Macaca mulatta: one gene and its partner. The protein of the gene in region 1 interacts with the protein of each later gene in a biochemical or structural test. Links are inferred from orthologs where the notes say so. Each region holds a gene or a part of one and is shown on either strand. Other genes may lie near its edges. The genes, in order: COIL and VRK1.

Region 1 (4,360 bases):
CCTGCCCATTTCATCGGGATACAGAAAACTCATGAATAATCCATCCCTTGTTTAGCATACAATCAAGAAGTAACTATAAGTATACTTGACTGAGTATACTTATAGTACGGGCTTGCTGCTCTGCCTATGGAGTTAGCCATTCTTTTATTCCTTTAATTCTCTAATAAACTTGCTTTTGGTCAGAGGTGGTGGCTCACGCCTGTAACCCCACCACTTTGGGAGGCCAAGGCAGGCAGATTGCTTGAATTCAGGAATTCAAGACCAGCCTGGCCACCATGGAAAAACCCCATCTCTACAAAAATTACAAAAAGTAACTGAGCACGGTGGCTGACGCCTGTGGCTCCAGTTACTAGGGAGGCTGAGGTGGGGAGTCACTTGAACCTGGGAGGCAGAGATTGCACCACTGCACTCCAGCCTGGGTGACAGAGTGAGACTCTAAAAAAAAAAATCCAAAAAACCCTACTTTCCATTAAGAAATTTTGTTTCATCTACTGACTCCCTGATATCTACAACTTAACTAGTCTAGTGAACTTGGGGAAGTTACATTTTTTTTTTTAAGACAGAATCTTGCTTTGTTGCCCAGGCTGGAGTGCAGTGGCACGATCTTGACTCACTGCAACCTCCACCTCTTGGGTTCAAGCGATTCTACTGCCTCAGTCTCCCAAGTACCTGGAATTATAGGCACATGCCACCAAACCCCGCTAATTTTTTATTTTCAGTAGAGTTGGGGTTTCACCATTTTGGCCAGGGTGGTTTCAAACTCCTGGTCTCAAGAGATCCGCCCACCTTGGCCTCTCAGAGTGCTGGGATTACAGTCGTCAGCCACTGCTCCTGGCCTCTAGTTACTTCTTAAACTCTCTGAACCTTGTTTTTTTTAAATCCTCTAAATGAGGATAATAGTTCATAATTCCTAACTTTTGTCATGAAAATTAAAGAGTTAATATATATTATGTGGAGAAATGTAAATTCTAGTTCAAAAAATATAAGAAATAATGTAAATTCTGATTTACTTATCTGGTGAGAAATGCAAGGACATTTTTCTTTGGTTGTGGGTATTAAAAGGCTAAGGTATTTATATTCCACTGGATACATTTGGAAGAATGATTACCAGTTTTATTTCAAAATTTCAACATTGAGAACACACTAGGACTTACATCTTTTTCAACTCATGATGAAAAATTTTGTCAGTGAAATGTGTTGTTACGATTGTTTTATAAAAATCTTTTATGTCGATGAGCAAATATCTTAGACCACTGCTGAGGAGAAATGTTATTTATCCAGAGACTTGCCTTAATTAGGAGACCCTACATAGCGCCCAGTAGAAATGTAATAAAGGCATTTCACTTATTCCCTTTCTCAGCCCTGCCGTGAACAAACTTGAATGAAAAAAATCAACCACGCTCCGAGTGCGCGCCTAGACGCAGCCTGTAGTAGTCAGGTTCCACCACTAGGTGGCACACGCCAAAGGCTCCGGGGGGCGGGCCGCCCGAGCACGCCTCTCGGTAGCCCCGTGGTATCTCTCGGCTTCCGTTGAGCACCGAGCAAGATGGCAGCTTCCGAGACGGTTAGGCTACGGCTTCAATTTGATTACCCGCCTCCAGCTACCCCGCACTGTACGGCCTTCTGGCTTCTGGTCGACTTGAACAGATGCCGAGTCGTCACAGATCTCATTAGTCTCATCCGCCAGCGCTTCGGCTTCAGTTCTGGGGCCCTCCTAGGCCTCTACCTGGAGGGGGGGCTCCTGCCCCCCGCCGAGAGCGCGCGCCTGGTGAGAGACAACGACTGCCTCAGGTGCGCGGCGCAGGGAGCGGGACGGCCGGGTGGGCGGTGGGAGGGGGACGCGCCTGCGCACGCCCGGGCTTGAGGCCGCTAGACCTGGTTGTGGAGGGCATGGGGAATGGGGAAGGGGACGAGGGTTAGAGGGGGTGGGGCTGTAAAAATGCACGTTCGCTAACCCGGGAGATACTGATTGGTGTAGTCAACTTTGGGGCTCAGGAATCACATTTTATTATTTATTTATTCATTTGAGACAGAGTCCTGCTTTGTCGCCCAGGCTGGAGTACAGTGGCGTGATCTCGGTTTACTGCAACCGCCGCCTCCCGGGTTCGAGCAGTTTTCCTGCCTCAGCCTCCCGAGTGGCTGGGACAACAGGCGTCCGCCACCACACCCAGCTAATTTTTGTATTTTTAGTAGAGATGGAGTTTTACCACAGTGGTCTAGGTGGTCTCGAGCTCTTGACCTCAGGTGATCCGCCAGCCTTGGCCTCTCAAAGTGCTGGGATTACAGGCGTGAGCCACCCCACCCTGCCCCTATTATTTTTATTTTTGAGACTGAGTCTCGTTCTGTTACCCAGGCTGAAGTGCAGTGGCGCGATCTCAGCTCACTACAACCTCCACCTCCCGGATTCAGTTGATCCTCCCACCTCAGCCTCCTGAGTAGCTGGGATTACAGGCGTTCACCACCATGCCCAGCTAATTTTGTTGTTGTTGTTGTTGTTGTATTTTTAGTAGAGACAGGGTTCACCATGTTGGCCAGGCTGGTCTTGAACTCCTGACCTTAAGTGATCTTCCCGGCTTTCCAAAGTGCTGGAATTAACAGGCGTGAGCCTCTGCGCCTGGCCGGAATCTGCATTGTAACCAGCAACCTCCCCGGGATGCTTCTATGACAGGAGAATCAAACTTGGAAAAACCCTGATGCCTAAGGGCAGGGCCAGGGTTTCTTTCAGCCTTGATTTAGCACATCCACGCTTAGCTAGGCACTGTGGGACTCTGTTCCGTGTCCATGGTGCAAATGTGCGGGAGACCCGGCCTTACCCTTGGTGGCCTTCACGGTCAGGTGCAGGAGACACAAGCTGATAAAGGGGAATCGTCGCGTTTTCTTTGTAACATGCTGTTGTCCAGCCTTAGTTCTCTTGTGCCCGGTGTCCCCTGAGACTTCTGGTGGCGTATCATTTTGTGTCTCACCCAGACATTTTGGGGTTTTCTCAAATAAGTGTCTTGAGTCCTTTTGGGCTGTAAATTGGGAACCACAAAATAATCTTAAATGTGCTTTTGGAAGTTAAAAAAATGATAATGAGGTGAGTATCCAGGAGCAATTGTAGTATGAATTGCTGAAATGTGGTTGAGTTGCCACAGTCAGATGATGGTATCACCAGTTTGGATTCATGTCTTGGACCGATTTATTCAGGCTTTTTTTTTTTTTTTTCTTTTTTAAACAAAGAGACTGGGTTTCCCATGCCCAGGCTGGAGTGCAGTGGTGCGGTCATAGCTTGCTGTAGCCTCGACCTCCTGGGCACAGGCAATCCTCCCACCTCAGCCTCCCAAGTAGTTGGGACTTCAGGCTAGGCAACCACGCCTGGCTAGTTTTTGTATTTGTTGTAGAGACAGGGTTTTGCCATGTTACCCAGGCTGATCTCAAATCCTTGGGCTCCAGCTGTCCTCTCTTCTCAGCCTCCCAAAGCACTGGGATTACAGGCGTGAGCCACTGTGCCAGCCTTCCTTCCCCCCACCCCCTTTAAGCTTCAGCTACAGTGAATTAATTCCAGAGTTGTGAACCAGGCTATTTTCTCTTGCTGCCCTTTGTTGTTGAATATTCCTTACCCTCAAGCATATCAGATTCTGTAAGATTTCTTCAGAACATCAAGGAATTTAATTTGGAACAATAACTGCATCTTCAAATCAGGATGTTATGATTTATTGCATAATGTTCAACTGTTTCAAATGACAATTTGAAATAATCCGAATTTCAAAGAGTTTTTCCCCCCTTTTTATCGACTGTGAAATAGGTCTCTATTCTCTCTGCAATTGAAGGATTATTTAAATATTACAATTCTAAGGATTGTGTCCCATCCTATTAAGATTACTTTCTGAACTGTCCCTTGACTAATGAGTTAATAACTTGTGCTAGCTAACTAGAATTATACTTTAATGAATCATCTGGGCATTACATTCTTCATAATGAAGTTAACAATGACAAAAACCATGAAAATTGTTATAAGTAATAATTACAACACGATGACAGGCAAATCCTTCCTAAATACTTCAAATGCACAGCTGCATGTGGCAAAAAAATACCTCTGTAGTGGCTTCTGTGGCAAATGGGCAGACTATAGAAAAAGATGAATCTGGAAAATTCATCTTTATTTTTGTTGTTTTATGCCCGCAATCATTGTTTTTTCCTAACAGATTCACTTTTCTTCAGAGCTACAGAAGAAAACATAGTCTCTGTTCTCAAAGTACCCAATATCGTTGGACTGGGACCCCAATAATGAGTTTCATGCTTTTGTATATTACCTTCTGTGATACGGGCAATTAGACTGAATAGTTAAACCAAGTTATACTGGTAAGTGCAGAAGCTGGTT
Region 2 (4,384 bases), on another chromosome or scaffold:
CTGGATGCTTAAATATCATTCAAGCACCAAAGGGAAAAAAATTCAAAGGACACAGCCCTCTGCATCTTTATAATGGCAATGAGAAATAGATTCACAGGAATTTTGATCAAAGGAGCCAAACTTATCCTACAGTAAAATTACATCTTGGTTACAACACCTACCTAAATGTTTTATTAGGGTTCTATCACCCTTTTAAATTAATCTTGCACCTTTATTAAACATTTTCTACATTTTAACATTAATAGTACAGTTTTTCAAATGTGCTCTACACATTTATTGGATTATTCTGTGCTGGATGCTAGATAAAGTTTAAAAAAAAAAAACAAAACAGACACACATTAATTTAAAACAAAGAAAACTTGCTTTGGCAAAACACTACAATAGCAAGAACAGACTTTGCACCTAGCACAATTCCTTGCAAATAGGGGGCACGTGATCTCTGGTGAATAAATGAGTCCATTTCTTCTCCGAAAAATAACCCTGGCAAGCATGTAAAATATCCTACCAGTCTGAAAAATATTCTCCAGTCCTATTCAGTTACCAATCCATTCTCAGAACCCATCAAGAGCAATTTTCATGAAAGCCTCACTCACACGCACAAAGAGGGAGCATTTAATTCCCATTAGGCTCACTGCCTGATCTATGGAGATATAAGCATTTGCACATTTGCATAAATTCAGGAGACATCCTTCATTTGATATAAGGTAAATCTTAAAGCTTCGCTTCATTTCCAAATAAGTTTTATTTTTCAAATCAAAAATATTTTTAAAGTTTTATTTTTCAAATCATAATCCTAATCATAGTACATTATATCTTATTAGGGATGCTTTTAAGAAAAAAAAATATAGCTGTCAAAATTAAAATCTTGTTTTTTCATTTCTAGACATCTGGGACATTTCACTTATATATTTATTATTATTTCACATTAGTTCTCAAAGTTAAAAAAAAAAAAAAAGCTGGCCTATTTCCTTTAAGAAATTTAATTTTAGGGTCTGTCAACATTTTGAATGCATTACTGTTATTTTTAAAATATACACTTGCATACTGGAATAAAACTTAGCATAAGCTTTCCATATAACCATTTCCTGGGCACTTACTAACTTACTATATGCCAGGCTCTATGCTTAACACATTACTCCATTATCTCATTTGTTTAACAAATATCCTCTCATAATTTTTGCAGCACTGAGCATAACAAGAAGCCATTGCACTATAAAGCTGGTATTTGTACTAGATACCAGAACTAAATTGACAGTAACGCCTAACACAAGTTTATTGTTATTAAATTCAAGTTGTGTTACTGTATTAACACAGAATCTGATCAGCAATGTTGAGATGTAGAGAATACCATCTGTGGTAGCATCAACAGAGAAAGCTATTATTAAGTGACTAAGTTATATTCCTTTCTATAGGTAACAGATGAACATAATAATATCCACCCAGAAATGTAATTCCAATCACTACATGCCATTTTGAAGAACATAAACGTAACCTACATAAAGACTATATAAAGAACCCTTGCTTCCTTCTGAAAATGCTTCAAAATTCTAGATTAAATTCTCCCCCAAAGTATCATGCTCAGCATGTCATAAAGAAAGGTGCCTTTATTGCGAACTCTTGAAAATAAATGCTGCCCTACATTTTTTTTACTCTTTTGAATTTCAGATTCAACAGATGGGCAATTCCAATTTAAAAAAAAAAAAAGAAAAGAAAAGAAAAGAAAAACACACACACAGTAATTAATGAGGTTCTTCAACAGTTCCCTAAAACATCCTCCCAATAGCAAAACTGGTGTTTCCAAGTTGTTCCAAGAAAGGGACACAGAAGAGGGAAGGCAAGAGCCTATACAAAGGAAAACAAAAATGGGTGACTTGAAAGAAAGGACATCAGAAAAATGGGTGGCCTCAACAGGAACCTGTAGTGTCTGACTCCGCTGCTGTCTGTCGAATTTAATTCAATCACCTAAGAGTTTTGAGACGAGAACCAAAATACTATTTCGGTGGCAGGAAAAACTATGCGTTGCCCTTGAAAGGAGCTGCAACAGTAAAGGATGCCACCCTGCCAGGTAGGGACAGAACAGAGGAGGAACTGTCAAACGGGATACGAAAGTCCTTTGCAAAACCCACAAGCGGCTCTAACTGCCTTGCACCAGACAGACCCTCAAGTACAAGACCACGGGGCCTCCCCGCGACGTGACAGGGAAATAACGGGCGGCCTCGCGGTCCCCAGGCCTGGCTGCTATCCTCAGGGGTCAGCCTCTCTCTTCCCTCTCAGGTTTCAAGTCAAAGGTCACATCCTCTGAGATGACCTTCCGGATCACCTAACCTAAAGAGCCTCGCGCCCATTCCTCTAGCCCGCAACTGCCTGTCCCGTTTCTAAGAAAGCATGTCCGTATCCGCAAAGCATCGCAGCTGCGTGTGTTGTTTCCCTAGTAGACAGCGAGCTCCGCGGGGCAGGGGCCCCGCCTGACAGACCCAGCTTCCCGGCGACGCCCGAGGCGGCGTTTGCGAGCTCGGCCGCGACACCACGCGCGTCCAGAACGTGGAGCTCAGATGGGGGCCGGCCTGGCCAGTCCAGGAATCCCCGGGATCGCCAGCGGGGCCTGAGCGAGACAAGCAAAGAGTGAACGCCCGCGCAGGCGGAAGCCACGCGGCGGAGCGCGGTCCCGCGGGGCAGCCAGGGCTGACGGCGCCTTCCGCACCCCGGCGGACCCACAGACCGCCCGGAAGGCCCAGTGCCGGCCCAGCCCCCGGCCGCCCTCCTCCGCGCCCCCAGCTAGGCGCGCGAGTCCTCGAGCAGTGTCGCCTGCGGCCTCCCTACCCTAAGTCGCAGAGCCGTCACCTTCCGCCCAGTACGAACTTCCCGCCGCTTTCGCCGACTCGCAACTCGGCAGCGGCGCCGGCCCCTTGGCACCCTGCAGTATGGAGCCTTCCCATTGGCTCGGAGGCGACGGGAGGGGCGGGACGAGCGGGAACGCGGCGGGGCGGGACGGAGGCTACGCTAGCCCCGCGCCTCCCCGGGAATGCCGGGAGCTGTGGTCCAGCGCTCCCAAGGCATCCTGGGAGTTGGAGTCTCTTAGCGGCAAAGGGAGATCCCCGTCCTTCTGCTCCCTAGCATTCTAGGAAATATGGTTTACAGCCCTGTTCTTAGTAGCTTGATTTATTGTGTTGGCAGAGAGTTGGATGTAAAATAAGTTTCCTGTTTCTGTTAGGATTAAATGAAATAATCTATAGACAGTACTTTAAACTTAGTTGGTGCTCAATAAATAGCAGATAGTATTAGTATTATTCTGCCCAATCATTGACATGTGTCTAAATCCTACTGTTTTTCGAAGCCTATTTCAAAGCCTATCTCAATGTCTACCTAATCCTCTGCAGTGTTTCACCTGTAATCAACGTATGCCACAGTTTGCATTGTGTTTATTATACTCAGCTAAGTCTCCATCATCCATGAGACTGAAAGCTTATTGGGCACTGGGTCACTGTTCTAGGTCAAAATCACTGAAGTCACAGGCAGAGGGAGATTAACAATGAAGCCAATGAAGCGTAAGCTTCAGGACCTCACTTGCGCAGGTCCTTCAATGAGTTTACATAGCTTTTTGCTTTTTATTTGTCAATTTTACTTTTCTTTTTTTTTTTTTCTTAAGATAGAATCTCACTTTGTCACCCAGGCTGCAGTGCTTTGGCGCAATCTCCGTTCACTGCAGCCGCGACCCCCTGGGCTCAAGCAATCCTCCCACCTCAACCCCCCAAGTAGCTGGGATTACAGGCACAGGCCACCACTCCTGGCTAATTTTTGTATTTTTTGTAGACACAGGGTTTGACCATGTTGCCCAGGCTGGTCTTGCCCTCCTGAGCTCAAGCAATCCACCCCACCTCGGCCTCCCAAAGCACTAGAGTTACAGGCATGAGCCGCCACACCCAGCTGATTTTTCTTAAAGTAGATCCTCCAAAATTACGTGAACTTCAGTCCCTACAAAACCTGAAATCACTCTGTCCATTAGACAGTTCAGTATAGTGCCTGATGTCTTACATTTTCCCCTCCAGATACCCTCATCTGCGTATGCTCCAAATACTTCTCCTGCCTGCCCTCTGCCCCGGGAGGCTGACCTCTACAAATTGCTTCACGCTCCCAGGGCTCCCTGGGCTCCCTGGGCTCCCTGGCTTTAGGGTGTGCTCAGTGGAGAACCCCACAGAAGACTGGAGGAAAAAGAAAGGTCGGTTAGAGTAGGTTAGGCCCCTGGATCCTTACTGGCAAGGTCACCTCCAGTTGGCAGGTCCCTCAGCTGAAGGTCACTGCTCCCTGGCCCTCCCTCCAGTTTGCGGTAATAGCCCTTCCTTTGTGCCTCAGGTCTGGAAGTGATAACATCACGGCTGCTGCTGAC

Evidence for each region.
Region 2: of the proteins of COIL (region 1) and VRK1, one has a biochemical effect on the other in vitro, tested with the Homo sapiens proteins (2 studies listed by BioGRID and IntAct, with this or other methods). The link is inferred for Macaca mulatta from reciprocal best matches to the Homo sapiens genes COIL and VRK1.

Annotation. Positions count from the first base shown.
Region 1 is NC_133421.1:53,038,697-53,043,056, forward strand, and holds the start of COIL (coilin), read left to right. Parts: upstream 1-1,538; 5' UTR 1,539-1,546; coding exon 1,547-1,791; intron 1,792-4,360. UniProt on the Homo sapiens protein: Component of nuclear coiled bodies, also known as Cajal bodies or CBs, which are involved in the modification and assembly of nucleoplasmic snRNPs.
Region 2 is NC_133412.1:170,104,431-170,108,814, reverse strand, and holds the start of VRK1 (serine/threonine-protein kinase VRK1), read right to left. Parts: upstream 2,910-4,384; 5' UTR 2,821-2,909; intron 2,650-2,820; exon of another isoform or gene 2,475-2,649; intron 1-2,474. UniProt on the Homo sapiens protein: Serine/threonine kinase involved in the regulation of key cellular processes including the cell cycle, nuclear condensation, transcription regulation, and DNA damage response.